Oryctolagus cuniculus: one gene and its partners. Each later gene encodes a partner of the first gene's protein in a complex. Links are inferred from orthologs where the notes say so. Each region holds a gene or a part of one and is shown on either strand. Other genes may lie near its edges.

Region 1 (3,634 bases):
GTTAGATCAAAACCAAGAACCCGGAACTCCATTCAAGTCTCCCATATGGATGGCAGGGGCCCAAGCACTGGGACCATCATCCACTGCTTTACCAGGTGCATTAATGTAGCTGGATTGGAAGTGGAACAACTGGGGCTCCAACCAGAGCTCCAGTATGGGGTGCTGGTGTTTCAAGCAGCTGCTTAACCTGCTGCCCTGTCTCTATGGTTTTCAAAAAATTTGGAGACTTAGCTTAAGATCAAGAATAGATTTAAAACTATTACTTGTTTAGAACCAGGACATACTCTAACTGAAAGATCAAATTCTTGTAAAGAAAATTTTATTAGAACATCACCTTATGTAATCTTTTATATATTGTCTATGTCTGCTCTCCTACTGAAATAGCAGAATCAAGTAGTTGCAACAGAGATAACCACCTGGCCTGAAAAGCCTGAAGTGTTTACTATCCAGAAAGAAGCTCCTGGCTCCTGGCTTTGGATTGGTGCTTCTCCAACTGTTGTGGACATTTGGGGAGTGAATCAACAGATGAAAGATCTCTCTCTCTCTCTCTCTCTCTCTCTTTCCCTCTCTGTAACTCTGCCTTTCAAATAAATACATAAATCTTTAAAGAATTTTTTTTTAATTCAAAACTTTAAAGGTTTAATGCATTCAAATTAGGCCATGATTTAATTATTTTTTGGTTTTTTTTTTTTTTTTTTTTTTTTTTTTGACAGGCAGAGTGGACAGTGAGATAGAGAGACAGAGAGAGAAAGGTCTTCCTTTTTGCCGTTGGTTCACCCTCCAATGGCCGCCGCTGCAGCCGGCGCACCGCGCTGATCCGATGGCAGGAGCCAGGAGCCAGGTGCTTTTCCTGGTCTCCCATGGGGTGCAGGGCCCAAGCACCTGGGCCATCCTCCACTGCACTCCCTGGCCATAGCAGAGAGCTGGCCTGGAAGAGGGGCAACCGGGACAGAATCCGGCGCCCTGACCGGGACTAGAACCCGGTGTGCCGGCGCCGCAAGGTGGAGGATTAGCCTATTGAGCCACGGCGCCGGCTATTTTTTGGTATTTTACCATTTCTTTTTGGGTGACTGTTACATTGTCACTAAACAAGAGGCCAAAAGAAAATGAATGTGGCATAGCTTTTGGGCAGAATTTATAGTAAAAGATGTTGGTGTCTGTATTAAATTATGAAACATAGTTATAGTTATACAGTCTCTTCCTCTGGAGGTCTTTTTTTTTTTCCCTCAATTATTTGAGAGGCAGAGAGAGAGAAAGAGAGAAAGAATGTGAGTATGCACACCTATCTGTTAGTTCACTATCCACATGCCCACAGTGGCTGAGGCTGAACCAAGCTGAAGCCAGAATCCAGAAACTCAATCCAGGTCTCCCACATGGTTGGCAGTGACTCAACTACTTATGCCATCACCTGCCGCCTCCCAGGGTCTGTATTAGCAGGAAGCTGGAATTGGGAACTAGAGCGAGGAATCAAACCCAGATACTCCAGTATGCGATGTGAGCATCCCAAATGGTGTCTTTAACTACTTAACCAAATACCTGCACCTGAAAATCTTTTAAAACTGTGAGTCATTTATTTTAAACTTTGCCAAGATATAGAATGTTGAACATTGGTCAAGTTCTTTGTATCTTAGTAAACAAAATTATGTTCACTATTTCTCAGGTTCGAAATGTGAGGTGCATTAAATGTCACAAGTGGGGTCATGTCAACACAGACCGAGAATGTCCTTTGTTCGGTCTTTCTGGAATCAACGCAAGTTCAGTTCCTACTGATGGTTCAGGTAGGCACCAGACATGATTTATTTGTTTTAGGATTTATATCCAGGACAAACAAGGAAAACTTAAATCATATTTTTCTTTAATCTCTCTGGATATTATTTTGTTTTGGTCTTTTGGACTGGGATATATTCTCAAGATATAATGCTCAGTAGGAAACTCTGATCATATGTGTTAAATTGGAAATGCTGTGTAATAAAATTAAGTTTAATTTTCGCAGCCAAAGTTCCTATGAACTTTTTAAAGTATGAGACATTAAAGACAGTTTTTTCATGGTAGTAGCCTAAAATTACAAGAAAGAAATTGTGATTTTTCATATTCATATGATCATGAATTATAAAAACCAGCTGGATGGAAAGCCTCAACTGTCATCTCTAGTTCAGAGATTAAAAACAAAGCTGAGCAAAAAAGGATATTAAATATGTTAAACTGGTTTTTATTTGAACGTTACTATCTTACATGTTACTGGCTACTCAAGAAAAATTGGTCTAATTTGAGTTGAATCATTTTGGTTCTTTTTATAAAAAGATATTAAAATAAGAAGTTTTAATTTGAATTTATCAGTGCCTTGTTAGTGCATTATTGAGACAGCCACACAAATCCAGCCCTAACTCATAGTAGATCATATTAGAAATAACCTGCTTAACACTGTTACTGTAAGCAAGTCATTTCACTTGTATGAACTTCAGCTCCTTGTTTTAAAATAATTGTGATAATACAACAGAGATTTTCAGTATTTTTAAGCTGTAGAACTTTTTTGTTTCAAGAAATCTTAAATGAAACACCAGTATATAGACATGTGAAGACACTCAAGAAAATTTGTGGAAAATTCAACATTAAGTTAATTTGGTGCCAAAAAAAATGAAGTCCACGCATAAGGGGATCTTTAAAAAGTTCATGGAAAATATTGAAAACTGCATAGATTTCAAAAACTTTTTTGCATCAAAATAAAATACCCTTGTAATTTCATTTTAACTTAAGGTTTCTTAAGTGCTCACATATAAAAGCTGAGTTGCTCTGCTGAAGCAGAGCTCTAGGCCTGAAAACCCTTCCTCAGCCCAACAAGTCTCTGATGCATCTCTCTGGACTCCCCATGGCTCCTGCTGCCACCTGCATCCATGCCCAGGGTTTACTCTCAATCTGTATCATCTTCCAGTGTCCTGTAACCAGAGATCTTGCTTCCTGGCAGCAAGCCAGACTCAGGCCACAGGTCTCAAGATGCCAGTTCTCATATTAGGAGTTTAGGAATTGGATCCATTATTAAGTTTGACATCATGTGTTTAATGGGATTTATGGGAGAGAACCAGAATTGCTGGAAGAAGTATAAAGAGTATAAAATTATTTTTTTAAACATCCTTATTTTGCTAAAATAAGAAAACACCTTTTAAGTAGAAGGAAAACTGTTTGCTCAGTGATGAGACAACACTAGTACAGCCTTTGGTCTAGCAGGCTCTGATAAAAGAACATCCTGTTAATAACACATGACAGGTGCTCCCAGAAACCACATACACAATGCTCCCTCCTTGCCTACCCTTCTCCAGCTGGTGGAAAAAGGAGTAAAGGCCCCAAAGGAAATGGAATGGGGCAAATCATATAGCAAGAACCCCTTGGCTCAAATATTTATGACCACTTATTCCATTAATCAGAGATCTGTTACCTCTGAAAAGTATGTTGTTTTCTGGAAGTGATGTACATTTTTCATCTTCTCCTTCGTTGCAATCTTGCGATTTCTGTTCAACTGCAAAACTCATGGGACCAGGAAGAGTGATGGCTGCCCTTGTTCCCTGGCTTCATGGTACTCTGATTCCACTTCTCTGGGAATGAATAGGGTAGAATGTGGACTTAGTCCTTTGCTTTCTTT
Region 2 (4,085 bases), on another chromosome or scaffold:
CAACAAGCTGTGCTTTATTAAGTCCTGGTCTGGTTGGTAGCTTGAAGTGTCTTTTGTATCTCCTAAGCGTATTTACTTGTAATTGGTATAAATCAACCTAGAAAAAAATTTACACATATGAATTAGTCCATACTGTTTTTTTAAAATTTACCACTGATAGGTTCAAGAACAAAATTTCAACTTCAGCACAATACAAACTTAACTCCATGGTTTATATATAAACACTTTAATCTTTCTGGGATAAATACTATAAACTGGTGGTGGTATTATATATTATATATATGAATAAAATTCTAATAGTTGTCAACTGAAAATATAATAATTCAAACTGTATAACTTTTATTAACTGGGTATATTTAACTTTGCTTTCATTTCCAGATTTCTCAAATGTTTTAAATGTTTAAAAAATTTCCTCAAATGTTTTTATAAAAATTTCAGAATGAACTACTTAGGAGTTACATTAAACATACAAAAATTTTCATCTACCTCTGGCGTGTCAATATCTTGAACAGGTGAATCACCTCCATCATCATCACTGCCTTTTCTCTTTCTTCTGTTTCGAACACTCTGAATTAAATTTTTATGATAATCACAAATGTAAAGATGCCTTGCCTGAAACAGAAAGAGTTCACAGACTGCTTATTTTACAGTAAAATGTTTCTGTGCATTAATACACACATAGGCCACAGGGAATTATTGAAAACAGTCAAAACAAGCCATTGGTAAGACAAGAGTATGTTTCTAGTCTTAAATCCTAGGCCTTGTTAAACCAGATGTCTGGCAATACAGAGCGGAGTGGGAGGAGGAAGAGTGTAGTGCCACTTGGGGGAGGGACAGAGGCAGAAAAAGGAGAATGAGAAATTCCAGTCCTCTGGGTTTTGTCATCAAATTGCAAAGGTTGACCTGAATTAGTTATTTCAGGCTGGATTTTTAACTGGCAAGGGAGAAGATGATGTTGACCACAATTCTGTTACCTGATAGTATTTTCCGCTTAAAGAGCAAACTTAAGTAGTACCATGCATGCTTTCCAATCTAATTTACTACCCAAATCATATTACAGGCACAACATTTTCCAAACTAGCTATTAATTTTTATCCTATATTTAAATTTCAATTATAAATTTTTCTAAGTATTAAATCAATGTATTTGTATGTGATACAAAGTAATCTGAAATTATTCAAATTCACCTGAAAAGTTTCTCACGAATACCACTAAAGAGCTGTTTAAAACAGGCAGAAAATGTCACAATAAACTTTTCAAAAGCTTTAATTACATATTTTCATGAGAATTGTATAGCGACACGGAAATACTGGGCTTCATATTTTGACAGCTAATTCCTTAAAAAAAAAAAAAAGGGCTGAGCTAACAGGCTTGACAATTTTCAAGCTAAGCCTCAGTTAAAAACATGCAGGACGCGCGCTAGGTTCTGACAGCTTGGTATTCATTGATTGCCAGCCAGAACTCCGAAAAGTAGCAATGGGTGTTTCTAAAACCCTCCCAGTCGGTCAAAAGAACAGAAAACGGAATCCTGATGGCTGCCAAGCGAATGGCAAGACCGCAGAGGCTACGTGCTCCCACGTTCAGAGTAGCTGCGGAGCAGCTGACACTGCAAACACGGTGTACAGCCCCTGCGCCGCGCGAGGCGGCAGGGTGGGGGGATCTCGCTCTGTGTTCCGGACCAAGGACCTTCCTGGGTGTAAGGTCCGATTGGACTCCACTTTCCCCAGAGTAGGGCAGCTACTTCACCCTGGGGCCACACGCCAGCTCGGGCAGCACAACAAAGGCTCCTCCATTCCAAGAAGGGGTTGCCGGGCTGCAAGAAAACTACTCCGGGTGCTCCGTGCGACCTGCCCCTTTGTTTCGATTCCCGATTGCAGCAGAGGAGGAAGAGGGAGGACTGCGCGGGAGAGACGCATGCAGCGGGAGGTCGGGGGGTGGGGAGAGGAGGAGGAGGAGGGGCACCGCAGCGTGTGTTTTTGCGTGTTGGGGGTGGCGGTCGGAGTTGCAGTGACTTTGTTGTTTGCTCCCGAGCTAAGACTTCGCAAGTCCGCACTGCAGCCAGGTCGGGGGTGGGGGTGGGGGTGGGGGTGGGGGCTGAACCTTGCCAACAACCCGTGTCTTTGCCCAGCTGCTGGAGCCCCACAGGGGCGGTCCCGCCGTCACTTACGCTCTTATCCAGCTCGATCTTCACCTTCTTCTGGGAGATGCTCTTCTGGATCCTCTTGCTGAAGCTGGCGTTGCCTGCCGCCCGGCCGCACCGCTCACCGTCCTCCCGCAAACAGCAGAGTTGCCCGGGGCCCGGGCCAGCGGCTCCCGGGGGCCCAGCCGCGGAGACCGCGCCGCCTCCTGGCACCTCAGCCCCAGCGCTCGCCCCGTTCCCATTTCCAGCCGAGGCGGCGGCGGCCGCTGCAGCGACCACGGCGGCCACCGCGGCGGCTGCGTCCCCACCGCGGCTCATCTCCTCAGGCGTGAAGCCGTTCATGTCTCCGCGCTCCGAGGCGCCGGCGCCGACAGAAATCCCCGCTAGTCTCGCCGCTCCGCCTCTCTCCGCCAGGTCCCTCGGGCACACGATCCGGCGGCGGCAATTCACTCTGCACCCCAAGTTCGGCGATGGCCCGGCCAAACACGCAATGTCCCCAGCCTGGCGATTACCGTTGGCGCCGGAGAGTGGACAGTGCTGGGGGTTAAGACTCAAGAGTGGGGCAGCACAGGGACCTGGGACCCCGATTACTGTCACATGGAGACTTCAACACTTGGACCGCGGCGCCTCCGCCTCCCTTCGGCCCCTGGACCTGCGCAAGCACGACGCACCCCCCCCCTTCCGCCCCTTCCACTCTGCCGCGAGTTACCACGGGAATTGTAGTTCCCTACTGCGAAGTCGTCCTGAGTTTCGCCCTAATCTGGCGTCCAGTAAACTGGATGAACTACACATCCCAGCATGCATCGCGCCACAGCGGGCCGATTTTTTTTCCAAAGCACAGGGAAAACAGGAGTGTGTGGTTGTGGATTACGCTGTTTATTCTAGTCTCCTGTGTCTCCCTGGAAGTTGGGTGGTGTTTAGCTCCTGGAATTTCGCGGGGTTGGTGTTCAGAGGAAGTCAGCCGACTCTGAGGGGAAGCATAAAGGCGGGTGGGGGAGTAAGTGAGCGTGCAAAAAAAAAAAAAAAAAAGTTTCGGGGCCGTTCTGCGTGTGTGGTAAAACCGTTTTTGGTGAACTATGCTTTTGAGGGAAACCAAACCAAGGAGAATTCAGTCAGCTGGCGCTTTCCAGGTCTTTGAGGTCCTGCAGCTAACACCTCTGCTTGCCTAAACACCTCTTTCTTGCAGCAAATTAACGGGACGACTGCTAGGAAGGAAATGCCTACTTCTTGACAGTGACAGATCCTACTCAAAAATGCCTTTTCTAAATCCTTGTTCGTTCCTTCAGTGTTTCATTCTTAGGTGCAAAAAGCAGGTCGCTTCCTGGGGTAGAATCACTGGCTAGTTGACAGTAACTGGACTACTTTTTCCCTCCATTCCCAACCTTGTCAGTTTCTCCTCGGATGCCTCTGAAGGAAAGAGGCGTCTAGAGGGGCGCGGACTGCAGCGTTCCTAAGTCATTTGGATTGCTCCTCGGAAACTCCCCAGGGGTAGCTCTGCCCAGTGTGGAGAAAAGCCGCATTCTCCGAGCGGACTGCACGGCCGTGTGTGTTGCAACAGGCTCCTGTGAGCGCGCGTGTGTGTACGTGCATGTGCGCGCGTACGTGTGTATGCTTGCATGTGGGAGCGTGCTGGTGGAGGGCGGGTTTGGAGGAAGGGCGTGGCTAATATAAAAGCTGCGCATTAACTGGTAACAGCGCACCGGTTTAATAGTCTTTTTAAAATTTTTGTTGTTGTTGTTGAAAGGCAAAGTTACAGAGAGATTAAGAGAGGCAGAGACAGCCAGAGATGTTCCATCTGCTGGTTCACTCCCCAAATGGCCATAAGGGAGGGACTGGGCTGGAGCCAGGAGCTTCTTCCAGGTCTCCCACGTGGGTGCAGGGTTCAAGCACTTGGGCGATGCACTGCTGCTTTTCCAGGCACATTAGCAGGGAGCTGAATTGGAAG
Region 3 (3,634 bases), on another chromosome or scaffold:
CAGTGAAGACCTAAACGACAGAGTCAGTCATAAAACTCTTAGAAGAAAACCTTGGAGTAACTGTTTGTGAATTACATTTCAGGAAAAATCTGAACATTTAACACCAAAAGCACAAGTGACAAAAGGAAAAATATATCAAAATCTAAAACTTTTGGACCACAGTGATAGCATCAACAAGATGAAAAGGCAGCCCACAGGATGGGAGAGGGATCTGGGAAGGGGCTTGCATCCAGAACATAAGGAACTCCTGGAACTCAGTGATAAAGAGACGGTCGCTCCATGTTAAGAAACAGGGCAGGGTCCAGACACTTCTAAGAACATACACACAGTGGAAAGGAGCCCAACATCGCTGGCTGTCAGGGAAGTGCAAATCAAAACCACAATGAAATACTACTTTACACCTGCTAAGCTGATTACAGCAAAAAGCCAGGCAGCGACAAGTATCGGCCAGGGGGTGGGGAAACCAAGACCCTCACACGTGGCTGGTGGGGCGCGGATGCTGCCAGTGTCGGGGAAGCGGTGACGCAGACAGTGGTCACGTGACTCGGAGGAAGCCCACATCCACAGCAGACGCCTGTGCAGGAAGGCTCTTCCCAGCTTCTCCGTCACCGCCGCCATGTGGAAACAAGGCTCTCCGCCTCGCAACGCAAGAGCAGACAGACCAGACGTGGTCCGTCCCTGCGGCGGAACGAACTCTGGCACCTGCCACCACAGAGGCGAACCCTGGAAACACTGTGCTAAGTGAAATGATCGGACGTGGAAGGCCGCACGCTGTACAACTCGAGTTCCGGCCAACCCACAGAAGCAACACAGACGCAAGGCTGCCTGGGGCCCGGACTGCTGGGATACGGGGCAGGGGTGACTTCTAGAGGGTTCAGGCTTCCTCCAGGATATGACAATGCTCTACAATCAGACTGTATGGGGAGGGGCACACGCTTGTAGATATCCTCAAAAATGGGATTTTTTATTCATTTTATTTGAGTGGTAAGGAAAGGGAGAGAGAGAGAGAGAGACAGAGATGTCTATTCCCCAAGTGCCAGAAAGAGCCAGAACTGGGCCAGGCCAGAGTTAGGAGCTGGGAACCTCATCCGGGTGCCCCAGCCATCACCGCCCCCTCCTGGGAGCAGCAGCAGGAAGCTGGAATCAGCAGATCCAGGCCTGGAGCCCGGGTGCTCTGATGTGGGATGCAGGTGTCCCCGCTGGGATCTCAACCACTGTGCCAGATCCCCGCCACATGTCACACGCGACATGGCTGACGTGTATGTGTTGGATCTCAGTAATGATGTTGAGATGAGCAGGCAGAAAGATGGTCAGGGTAAACGGTCTCTGTTTTCTTTCCAGCTATACAATTCCAAGCACCCAGGGCTACTGGTCCCAGATGGCTCTGGGGTACTTCCGGGCAGCAGTGGGACCCTCAGGCCAAGCACCCCACAGCCAGAGAGAGCCACCGGACCAGATGCTACAAAGACGCACGGCAGCGGTCCAGGGCAGAGGGGCCTGGGCAGCACGAGAGGGAGCAGCCCAGCCCTACTCACCCAGCACGGAGCTGCTGAGCTGGCTGGGCCCAGCCTGGGGGCACGTGGAGCAGAGCGTGTTGAAGTAGAGCCCGGAGCCCTCCCGGATGGGGCTGAGCATGGGAGGCGGCGTGTAGGGGGAGCACTGGAACAGGCCCTGCAGGAGGCGGTCCACCAGGAACACCGGAGAGCGCAGGCAGCTCTGGTGGCCCCCAGGGCTCGGCGCCCTGAAGGCTGAGGGCTGGGGAGGGATGAGCAGCGCCTTGGACTGGGGGCGCTTCTTCCGCTTCCTGTGCTGGCCGCCCTCCTTGCCGTCCCTTTCTTCCTCGTCTTTCTCTTGTCCCTGGAGAAGGGAGTTGGGGACCACAGGCATTCACTACAGCAGTCGGTCTTCAGGTCAGCAAACAGGCCGGAAAAGGGGACGGAGGGAAAGAGGATGTGGCCACGCCCGGAGCCCTCAGCAAACAGGGCCGAGCAGGGCCTTGGGCAGCTCTGCCCCGCTGCCACACCCAAGCCAGACCCGAGACACCAGGTGCGGGGACGTTCCACGGCTGAAGCCCCAGGAGGCCCGAGGCTGGGGATCTTGGAAGCGTGGGAGGACGGTGTGGGCTCTGGTGGCCAGCACTTACCCAGTGGGGCCGGGGGGCGTGGGCCAGGGGACCAAGTGGCAAAAGCAGCTCCCGCGGGACCAGGGCATCTTTGGGCCCAAACACCCAGCACGAGTGCAACACAAGTGTCCCATGGGGTCCTCGTACAGTTGAGAGAGGCCCCACAGCGTGATCACTGATCACCAGATCTCCACCCCTGTTGGCCTTATTCCTCTTCATCCCCCAGGACTCAGCTCTGACAGCTCCGCCTCCAGGAAGCCCTCCCTGATCTCCTCAGGCTGGATCAGGAGCCCCTCGGAGCTCCCCCAGAAATCCTCTTCCACCAGCCCTGCCCACTCTGGACTGTCACTGTTTGGGACAGGTCTGGGACTGGGAGCCAGGCTGTCCCGGTTAGTGCTATGTCCCCAGCTGCCCCAGCACAGGCCCAGCACAGAGGGCTCAGTGAACATGGAATGACTGAGCGAATGTGCAACCCGAATTCTTCAGTGTCAGGACTTTCTGGGGTGTGGGGTTTGGGTTTTTCCCAAGGCTTCCGCCAAAAGCTGGGAAGGGTGGCAGAAAGGCAGCAGGGGTGAGCCCCCACCTTGGCCAGGCTCCCCAGGGCTCGGCTCCCCAGAGCCACAGGCACCGGCATGGGGATCACCACAGAGGCTACAGCCGTGCTGTCCAAGGGCTTCTTGGCTCGCAGGGGAGTCTGTCCGTCCCCATCTGGCCTCAGAGCCTGTCTTGGTGGCTTGCAAAACTCTGTGCCAAACACCTGAACCCGGAGAAGAGGGGGCTCCTTAAGGAAATGGCAGGCAGGGACAAGAGGAGCTGCCCAGGATACAGGGGAAGCCCTGGAGGCCTCTCCGTGGAGAACAGGCCAAAGACAGGGCTGGGCAGCTGCTGCCACCCCACAGCCACAGCCACAGCCAGCCCCAGAGAGCAGTCCAGCCCTGACCCTGAGCCCCTGCACCCCCCCCCCAGGACAGAGCCCCCAGCCTCACCTGCTGCTCCTGCTTGCCCCGCGGGGACGGCCACTGGTCGCTGTGGAAACACATGTGGCTGTTGAGCCCCTTCTCCGTATAGAACATCTGGCTGCAGTTCTTGCAGACGTACGTGCTCCTTGGCTCTGTCCACTCGCCAGGGCCCCCGTTTTGGTGGCTGCTGGGAAGACAGGCAGAGGGGAGGATGGGAGGGTGGGGCTCGCCCCCCGTCAGGGTGCTCTGGGAGTCTGGACCACCTCTAACAGATGCAGGCTTTGCCCAGATTCTTCTGCCTGGAGCGTCCTCTTCAGCACGGAGGCACCCCGCTCGCTCCCCCAGGGCCGGCACCAGAGCCACAGAGGGTGCCTGCGGCATGGGCACCTCAGGCGGGTGGGTGGGGCCGCAGCACGTACCATGTGCCTGCTGCGTGCTCGTCCCTCGAGGGATGGGGTATCCTGTAGACGTTCCCACCCTGTAGAGGAAAACATACCTGAGGCAGTGCCATGGGAGTGCAGAGCTCAGGGAGAGCCAAAGCCACGCGCCTGGA
Region 4 (4,132 bases), on another chromosome or scaffold:
GGGGCCGGTGTTGTGGCACAGCAGGTTAAACCACCCTCTGTGACGCCAGCATCCCATATTGGAGTGCTGGTTGGAGACCCAGCTGCTCCGTTTCTGATACGTCTCCCTGCTAATGCACCTGAGAAGACAGTGGAAAATGGCCCAAGTACTTAAGCCCCTGTGACCCACTTGGAAGACCCAGATGGAATTCTGGGCTCCTTCAGCCTGGACAGGCCTCAGCCACTGCAGTCATCTGGGAAGTGAACCAGCATATGGAAGATTCTTTCTTTCTTTCTTTCTTTCTTTCTTTCTTTCTTTCTTTCTTTCTTTCTCTCTCTCTCTCTCTCTCTCTCTCTTTCTCTCTTTCTCTCTTTCTCTCTTTCTCTCTTTCTCTCTTTCTCTCTTTTTCTTTCTTTCTTTCTTTCTCTCTCTCTCTCTTTCTCTCTCTCTTTCCCTTCCTTCCCTTCCCTTCCTTTCCTTTCCTTTTCCTGCCTTCTTTCCTTCCTTTCCTTACTTCCTCCCTCCCTTCCTTCTCTCTCTCTCTCTCTCTCTCTCTCTCTCTCTCTCTCTGTCACTCTGCCCTTGAAAAAAAAAATAAATCTTTAAAGCAGAAGAAGAAACAGGAAAAGAAATAAAGAGAGGAAGGGTGGGAGGAAGGAAGGAAGGAGCCCATACCCTGGGCTGCTGGTGTGGTACAGCAAATTATGCTGCCGGTTGCAACAGCAGCATCCCATATCGCAGTGCCTCTTTCAATCCAGCTCCCTGCAAATGTGCCTGGAAAAGCTGCCAAAGGACTGGCTGGGGCCATTTGAGAAGTGAACCAGCAGATAGAAGACCTCCATATCTCTCTCACATTCGCTCTCACTCTTGCTCTACCTTTCAAATAAGTAAATAAATATTTTAAAAGCAGCAGCAGCAGCCAGCATCCCATATCAGAATGCCAGAATTCCTGACTTCAGCTCCTAATTCCAGCTTCCAGCCAATGCAGACCCTTGAGGCAACAGGTGATGTCTCAAGTAATTGGGTCCCTGCCACCCACGTGTGACACCTGTATTGGTTCCTGGTTTCAGCTTGGCCCAATCCTGGCTGTTGCATGCATTTGAGGAGTGAATTGGTGGATAGGAACTCTGTCTCTCTTTCTGTCTCTACCTCCCAAATTTAAAAACAGTAGAAAATGAACAGAAATACTGATCATAAACCACATATTGCTAGGCTAGCAGATGACTAGTTTAAGGGGCTGGATAAAGAGAGGGTTACATATTCCTTTTGCTGAAGCACACGGGTGGAGATAGTTACTGTAAGAAAAGTATGCAATTTTTCTCTGGGCTGCAAACTTATTTGGAGTGTATCAGGCTCAAGACGTTAACACAGACTTTGTGCCTTCTATGCTACCTGGGCAATACGGAGCTTAGATATCATAGCTCACCCCAATCGCGATAAACTTTCCTAATTTTTCTTGGGATTAGGAAAAAAAACCAAATTATATGCAATATATATTCTCAATCATACATAAATGCATAATTATACACAGAAGGCACACGAAACACATACAGAATTGGATGTGTTGTTCATACGACCACTCTGTGAAATGTATCTTATATTCCGCCATCCTTCTCTTCAGGTACCACAAAGTTCGAAGCTGAGAAAGGACTTTATCTCCTCTCCCCGTTAGTTTAGCTTTGAGAAGCCACTCGGAACTAGAGGAGAGCGTAGACCCAGTTGCCCTACCGGCTTGTTTATACCGATACACACGTCCGTTCAAGTCTGCAGAACCGCCTACGTCCGGGGAAGGGGTTTACCGACGTACTCGAAACGATTCCCAAGGTTCCCCTCAGGTTTGGGTGGTTGTAAGGTGGCGGGATCTGAAAGCCAAGGCAACCGGGATCTTCCTAGACTGGTGAGAGCGCCCCCTTCTTCAGCGACTTCTGGGATCCTGCAGCAGCAATGGCTCGGGTATCCGGCTCACGGAGCCCGGAAACTTCGGGCTCCGGGGGAAAACGTCGCAGTTCGTCGAAGAGCCCCAAGCCCAGCAAATCTGCTCGGTCCCCGCGGGGCCGCCGCTCTCGCTCGCACTCTTGCTCTCGATCCGGGGAACGGAATGGCCTCAGTCACCATGTAGGTGGCCTCAGTCACAGCTCAAGAAACCAGTCCTACCGCTCCCGCTCGCGGTCACGTTCTCGAGAGCGGCCCTCTGCGCCTCGGAGCACACCTTTCGCTTCTGTCTCCTCGTCCACCTATTATGGCGGCTACTCGCGCCCCTATGGGAGCGACAAGCCGTGGCCTAGCCTCCTGGACAAGGAGAGGGAGGAAAGCCTGCGGCAGAAGTGAGTGACCCCCCTCCCCCACTTTTCCTTTTACGAACCCACCTCCCTTTGGAGTCCGATTTATCATTCATTCCTCTTGTGGCCGTTTGTGTTCGCTCATACTTGCCTTGTATCCGTTTTCACCCCGTTATCCAGTCCACCCATGGCGACCCTTTTATACGTCCTTTTATTCCCTTACATTTTCATTCATTATACATTGCCATGGTTTCGTGCTACCCTCTTCCCTCTTCGGGGTTGTTAGCAAACGCGGTCAAGAGCCTCACATCTACCAGATTTATAGCATTTACTTGGTTGTGCCATTATCATTTGAGAGCCCTTTTATTGATTATAGAATTCCCAGTGCCTAGCACTTTGCAAACATGCAACCATTGCTTATTGAAGAAATAGGCTTGATTTAACAGAACACGTAAGTGGTAATGTTTTGTGGGGAATTGGGAAGGTTGAAATCAAGGGTTTAAATTGGAGAGAAGGAAAATCTTCCCCTCAGACAAGGCGATGAATGTAGGAAAAGTGACCTGCTAGGCTGTAGATGAGGCTACCTTGAGAAAGGACTTGCAGAGTGGTCTCGATCTTGTTTGATCATGAAAAATGATATTGGGGTGAGATCAAATTTCTAGTAAGAGTGAGTATGGAGTGGAAAAATGCATGGTTTAAGGGGAAAGGAAAAGGTTTATAATTATTGCTGTGGAAGCCTTTGTCTCTAATGTTTATTAAAGGTTAGATTTATGTATCCAGTACTGTGCTGAGGACTAGACATGCTGTATGTGTCAGAAAATGAGAAATGTAAAAGTATTTCAGGCATTGAGGAGCAAGTTAAAGTTTCAGCAGTTGAGAGGTGTCTTTGTGATTCTTTTGCTAACTGCAGTTTCATCCAGGAATCAGACTGTCTGAAATTGATGTGCTTATTTGGTATTTAACAACAGTGTGAACTTGAGCGAGTTGCTTAACCTCTCTGAGTTTTACTTCTTCACTATTAAAAAAAAGATAAAATTAGTATGAAGGATTTTAGGGTTGTAATAATTTAGTGTTTGGAACATAATAAATACTCCACAAGTGTTAGATGTTAGTTCAGCATGCATGGAAGAAGAAACAGTGAAAACAGTCCTGAGTTAGGTTACTTCCAAGTTAAATTTTTCAGAAAAGTACCCAGAGGCTTTATCAATCAAAAAGCAAATGGTTTCTTAGTGGAAAATCTCCACCAAAATATGTCAGAACTACTTGAATGAAATTTGCATTTGTACATTTAAGGAGATAAGTAATTTATCTTAACAGTACAGATGAAGCCAGGTGACAGCAGGTATGAGAACAGGACTCCAAGCACTGTAGAATTTGGCTGATACTCTTCTCCCTATATGTAAATATTCCAAGTATGTCCCCTTTTAGATTGTATGTTTCTTAAAGTGGGAAATGCTGAGTCTGACTCTGCATAATGATGATATAATTTCCCCCTGAAGAAATAATATAATTTATTCAAACAAACCAGCTATATTTATTTTGTAAGGATGTTTAAAAAGAAATCAAATCACAAACAGCCAAACTTTTAGGAAGTGGGCCTTTTTTTTTTAACTTTAAGAGTAATAGCAAAAATTAAAACAAACCACATTATAAAACAAAAGAAGAAAATTTTAATGTCCTCCAAAGAATAGAGAATGTACTACTTTTCCAAAAAGAAACTAAAGGGAAAACAGAGAGAGAACAAACCCTGTGTCTCACTGAGTACAAGTTTTGTCAAATAAGACTTTTTTTCATTTTTAGAACTTTTGTTTTCTGCTTTTATCAATTCCTGGGCTTCTGAAAGCTGAAGATTTGAGCAAATCAAGAGACTCCTC
Region 5 (4,307 bases), on another chromosome or scaffold:
TGATGGTCCAAGTACTTGGGCTCTTGCCACCCACATGGGAAACCTGGATAGTGTTCTTGGCTCCTGGCTTTGGCCTGGCCCAGACTTGGCTGTTGTGGACATCTGGAGAGTGAACCAATGGATGGAAGAGCTCTGTCACTCTATTTTTCAAATGAATATACATACATACATACATACATACATTTTTAAAGAGTGTTAACTTATCTGAAGCTGTGATGCAATCAATTCATTTGCAACTTGTTGAAAAATGAGTGTGGTGGGGGCTGGCGCTGTGGTGCAGTGGGTTAAAGCCCTGGCCTGAAATGCCGGCATCCCATATCGGCGCCGGTTCTAGACCTGGTTGCTCCACTTCCAATCCGGCTCTCTGCTGTGGCCTGGGAAAGCAGTGGAGGATGGCCCAAGTGCTTGGGCCCTGCACCTGCGTGGGAGACCCGGTAAAAACTCCTGGCTTCGGATTGGTGTAGCTCCGGCCGTTGACACCATTTGGGGAGTGAACCAGCGGAAGGAAGACCTCTCTCTCTGTCCTTCCCTCTCACTGTCTGTAACTTACCTCTCAAATAAATAAAATCTTTAAAGAAAAATGAGTGTGGTAAGAAGGCATCTTCACAGACGCTATCAGAAGGAGCTCATGGCCACAGACTGTGTTTACCCAGCGTTTGTGCAGGAGAGAAACACTGAATCAGCAAATCCACCACAGGGAAGCGGCCTGCAGTGAAGTATGGCCTACCCTTCTCTCGTGGCTTCCCTTTTACATTTCTAGGTCTGTAAAGGTGTGGGGGTGTGGGACATGCCCAGGGCATGGGGACCCACGTGGGGAAAGGTGGCTATTTCATCACAGTGGCCACATACGCCAAGGGAAGGGATCTGGATTTCCCAGCAGGAGGGGCGCCTCTCTGGTCACCAGTCACTCTCCTTGCACAGCGGGCTGCAGTCACACCGGCCAGTTCCTTCCTCCCTGTGGCCGGACTCTTACCTCCCACACATTTGCCAGGCTTGCTCTTCCCTCACGCTCTCTGGGTCTTCACACAAAGCCCCCTCTCGGAGGGCCTTCCCAACCCCTCTTCTCTCATTCCCTCGTGTCACACACACACACTTGTTTACAAAGGGCGAGCACAGTGTCTGCTTTCTTACAGCTACAGTGCTAATGCCGAGGACGGCACGTGCAGCACGGCGGCCGCTCGGTAAATGCTTCTTGAATACATGACTACACAGAAGAGGAGGCTTCGAAAGAAAGAGTTTAGTTCTGAATGTGCTAAGTTTGAAGCACCCATGGGACACTCAGGCAGAGCTATGTAGTGGCCAAGGAAATAATTTTAAATGATAACGATGTTAATATCAAGTAATAAAAACAGTGGTTATTTTCCAAACATGGTGCTAAGCATATTACACTTAAGCAAAAAAAAAAAAAAAAAAAAAAAGGCAAAAAAAGCATTCTAGGGGCACAGGGTGAGGGCGAGGGAGACATAGAGAGAGACACAGAGACAGAGAGACACCAGTGCGGCAGGGAAGGGCGAGGCTGCCCAGGACTCTCCCTGTCAGTTTCGCACCCTCCTGTCTCCTCACCTTCATGTACTTGTTGAAGACCGTCTGGATCTCCTCATTGATGCTCGGCTGCAAGACAGCCCGGAGGAGATCCATGGAGATGGCCGGGTCTGTGAAACTGCCGGGAGGGAGGGAGGGAGGCGGTCAGGGGGCTCAGGGGGCGGCACCATCTCCCTTCCCTGACACAGACACTGCTCCTAGCTCCCTGGGACCGCTGAACAAACAGGCTCAGGGAGGCAAGGCGGCCTGTCCAAGTCACCCAGCTAATACAGGTCGGGTTGTCCGACTCGGGGCCTGGGATGCCAACCTCGAGGCTCTGCGACCTCTTTGGCGCCCTCCACCCCGGAGCCAGGGAATGTTAGGGATTTCGGGTGCCGTTCCCCCCACCCCCCCACTTTGCAGAAGAGTTCAGCTCAAGGTCACGGCCACAGCGCCCACAGCGCCTCCTTCCCCCGACTGCAGATCTCTTCTCAGGCTTGTGCGGTGGGGGTCCCACAGCATCGGTCCAAGCCAGCCCTGGGACCGGTTCCAGCCAGGGCCGGCCTTACCTTGTTGTCATCTGAGAGCGGCGGCCCCTTCGCTGCACTTGACGGTGCTTTATCATAATGTTCCAAGGGTTCTGCGGGGACCAAGCGAGGGAGCAAACGTCACTGAAGCCGGTGACACTGACGCGGCGTGGAGGGGGAGGTGCGTGCGAGGATTAGCCTGGACCCCGCTGCACCTCGGCTGCTCTCTCCAAGTCTCCCACCGGGTGGACAGGCCCTGCCCGGGAAGAGGGCCTGAGGAAGTTTCCTGTCCCAAACGTCCCAGGTCCGCCTTTCCTGGAACGGCTCAAGGCAACTCGGGTGCCGGGAGCTTTACCTGCATCTGTCACCCCACCCCGACAACTTCGAAGGGACAGGCACCATTCCTCTCCATTTTATGTTAGAGCAGCCTAGAGGGGGGTGCCAGGACCGGCCCACGTCACCTCGCCGGGAGGGCGGCACCAGAATTTGAACCCAGGTCGTGGGACTGCGAAAACGCCAACCCCCTCGGGCAGCACCAGCCGCCGCGTTCTCTCGCCCGCGGGCCAGGGTCCCGGGAGCCCGAGGCCCCCGCCGGCCCGAGCTCAGGCCTCAGCGGGGGCGTCCTCACCGTGAGAACCAGCTGCCCAGCTGCGCTCGCATCCCCCGGCTCCGGGCCGCCCCGCTCTGTCCCGCTGGGTCCCCGCGGCTGCTCGGCGTCGCCAGTGGCCCCCATGGCGCCCCCGGCCACCACAACTTCTGCCCGACTCTGCCACCGGCCGGAAAGTGGCTCTGTGACGTCACTGGAGCGCGCCGCTCGCCGGCCCGGAAGCTCGCCGCGGAGCGCCGCGGCGTTGCCAGGGGAACCGCGCCGCCGTCTCTCGCCTCAGTCTCCGGTCGCACCATGGGGTAGCACCAAGTGCGCGAGTCTTTGCGGTTAACAAGAAATGGGTTGAAATCCGTTATGATATGGTGGTTAGGGCATTGGCTGTGGAATTGGATCGCCTGCCTTTGTTCCTCCCTCTTAGGAGCTGTGGGATTCGCGGGCCTCAGTTTCCCCGGCCGTAAGATGGGGTTAATAGCACCTAGTTTATAGCGTCGCGGTGAGAATTAAGTGAGTTGATTCATGTTAAGCCCGCCAAAGTCTGGCACGGGTAAACCCCCAAACGGTGCCATCTGTCGTTCCCGTAGGAAATTCTAGCGGCCATACACCGCCTTTGGCCATTTTTTTCTCAGCCCCTCGGAATCGGTTTTGCAAGAGTATAGTGAGGATTGAAGTAGATCATAGATGTTGTGCTCAGATAAGTAGATCCCCAAGAAGCTATCAGCGACCCCATCACACCGACCTGCAAAAGCAAGGTTTATTTTAAAAGTACAAGCCCGGCAGGGGCCTTATCTGACCAGCGGAGGTCAGAGGAAGGCCCAGGTCTTTGTTCGGGACGCTTTTAAAGGGAAGATACGTCAGGGTGCCGGGCCTTTTGTGATTGGGCAGGGCAGTTCCCGGTTGCTCTTAGTCGGAGGGGCGTGTCTCTGTTTGGCTTGGGTGCAGGGAGTTACCTCATTTGGCACTCTCTACTGAGCTGCCCTTGGTCTGCTGAGCTGTCCTTGGTAAGCTTTGATGTCTCCAGAATGCCTGAATGCCTGCTTTTACAAAGGACTCGGGTCTGCTACGGGAAACAGAGGCTGCTTTTTATTTACGTTTTTAAATGGAGCCACTTTGGCTCTTCAGTAGATATATGTATGTGTGCAGCAATTCGAGTATTAGGTGATCAACATGTGGCACTTACCGCCGCGCTCTGACACCAGCTGCTAACTCGGAGGCAAACTTCCTGGCACTGTCAAGGAGGTTTGTGCCTTGTGCCTGGTGTCTGCCGCTCTGTCAGTTCCCAGGGCTAAGCAGTGCCAGCGGACAGAGGGAAGAGCAGGACAAAGGAAAATGGACAGAGACAGAGGAAGAAGAGATAAAAGGGGCGTCTGTGGACCGACCACACTGTTGGAGTCACGGAGTCTGCTCTCTCGGACTCTGCCGGCCAGCCTTCCTACCTATCCCGGCCTATGTGGGATACAGAGACCCAGACACAGGTTTTTGGTGCATTTGTATTGGTGCATTTTGTATTGAAAACACCCAAATACTGATTTTTCATAGTTTTTAAGTGATTTTTTTAGAAAAGATTTATTTGAAAGGCAGAGTTAGAGAGAGAGAGAGAGAGAATGAATCTTCCATCTGCTAGTTTGCTCTTCAAGTAGCCGCAACGGTCCTGG

Evidence for each region.
Region 2: CIR1 (region 1) and SAP30 share a complex: the UniProt entries of both Homo sapiens proteins name them as parts of the histone deacetylase complex. The link is inferred for Oryctolagus cuniculus from reciprocal best matches to the Homo sapiens genes CIRSR and SAP30.
Region 3: CIR1 (region 1) and ZNF541 share a complex: the UniProt entries of both Homo sapiens proteins name them as parts of the histone deacetylase complex. The link is inferred for Oryctolagus cuniculus from reciprocal best matches to the Homo sapiens genes CIRSR and ZNF541.
Region 4: CIR1 (region 1) and NKAP share a complex: the UniProt entries of both Homo sapiens proteins name them as parts of the notch corepressor complex. The link is inferred for Oryctolagus cuniculus from reciprocal best matches to the Homo sapiens genes CIRSR and NKAP.
Region 5: CIR1 (region 1) and DNTTIP1 share a complex: the UniProt entries of both Homo sapiens proteins name them as parts of the histone deacetylase complex. The link is inferred for Oryctolagus cuniculus from reciprocal best matches to the Homo sapiens genes CIRSR and DNTTIP1.

The regions. Positions count from the first base shown.
Region 1 is NC_091434.1:66,790,711-66,794,344, forward strand, and holds part of CIR1 (corepressor interacting with RBPJ 1), read left to right. Parts: intron 1-1,660; coding exon 1,661-1,778; intron 1,779-3,634. UniProt on the Homo sapiens protein: May modulate splice site selection during alternative splicing of pre-mRNAs. Regulates transcription and acts as corepressor for RBPJ. Recruits RBPJ to the Sin3-histone deacetylase complex (HDAC). Required for RBPJ-mediated repression of transcription.
Region 2 is NC_091433.1:55,750,136-55,754,220, reverse strand, and holds the start of SAP30 (histone deacetylase complex subunit SAP30), read right to left. Parts: upstream 2,821-4,085; 5' UTR 2,483-2,820; coding exon 2,168-2,482; intron 613-2,167; coding exon 487-612; intron 98-486; coding exon 1-97. UniProt on the Homo sapiens protein: Involved in the functional recruitment of the Sin3-histone deacetylase complex (HDAC) to a specific subset of N-CoR corepressor complexes. Capable of transcription repression by N-CoR.
Region 3 is NC_091449.1:10,111,593-10,115,226, reverse strand, and holds part of ZNF541 (zinc finger protein 541), read right to left. Parts: intron 3,560-3,634; coding exon 3,501-3,559; intron 3,269-3,500; coding exon 3,109-3,268; intron 2,880-3,108; coding exon 2,706-2,879; intron 1,858-2,705; coding exon 1,536-1,857; intron 1-1,535. UniProt on the Homo sapiens protein: Transcription regulator which is essential for male fertility and for the completion of meiotic prophase in spermatocytes.
Region 4 is NC_091453.1:73,167,750-73,171,881, forward strand, and holds the start of NKAP (NF-kappa-B-activating protein), read left to right. Parts: upstream 1-1,299; 5' UTR 1,300-1,923; coding exon 1,924-2,303; intron 2,304-4,132. UniProt on the Homo sapiens protein: Acts as a transcriptional repressor. Plays a role as a transcriptional corepressor of the Notch-mediated signaling required for T-cell development. Also involved in the TNF and IL-1 induced NF-kappa-B activation.
Region 5 is NC_091442.1:13,601,519-13,605,825, forward strand, and holds the start of DNTTIP1 (deoxynucleotidyltransferase terminal-interacting protein 1), read right to left. Parts: upstream 2,852-4,307; 5' UTR 2,782-2,851; coding exon 2,677-2,781; intron 2,162-2,676; coding exon 2,091-2,161; intron 1,661-2,090; coding exon 1,564-1,660; intron 1-1,563. UniProt on the Homo sapiens protein: Increases DNTT terminal deoxynucleotidyltransferase activity (in vitro). Also acts as a transcriptional regulator, binding to the consensus sequence 5'-GNTGCATG-3' following an AT-tract.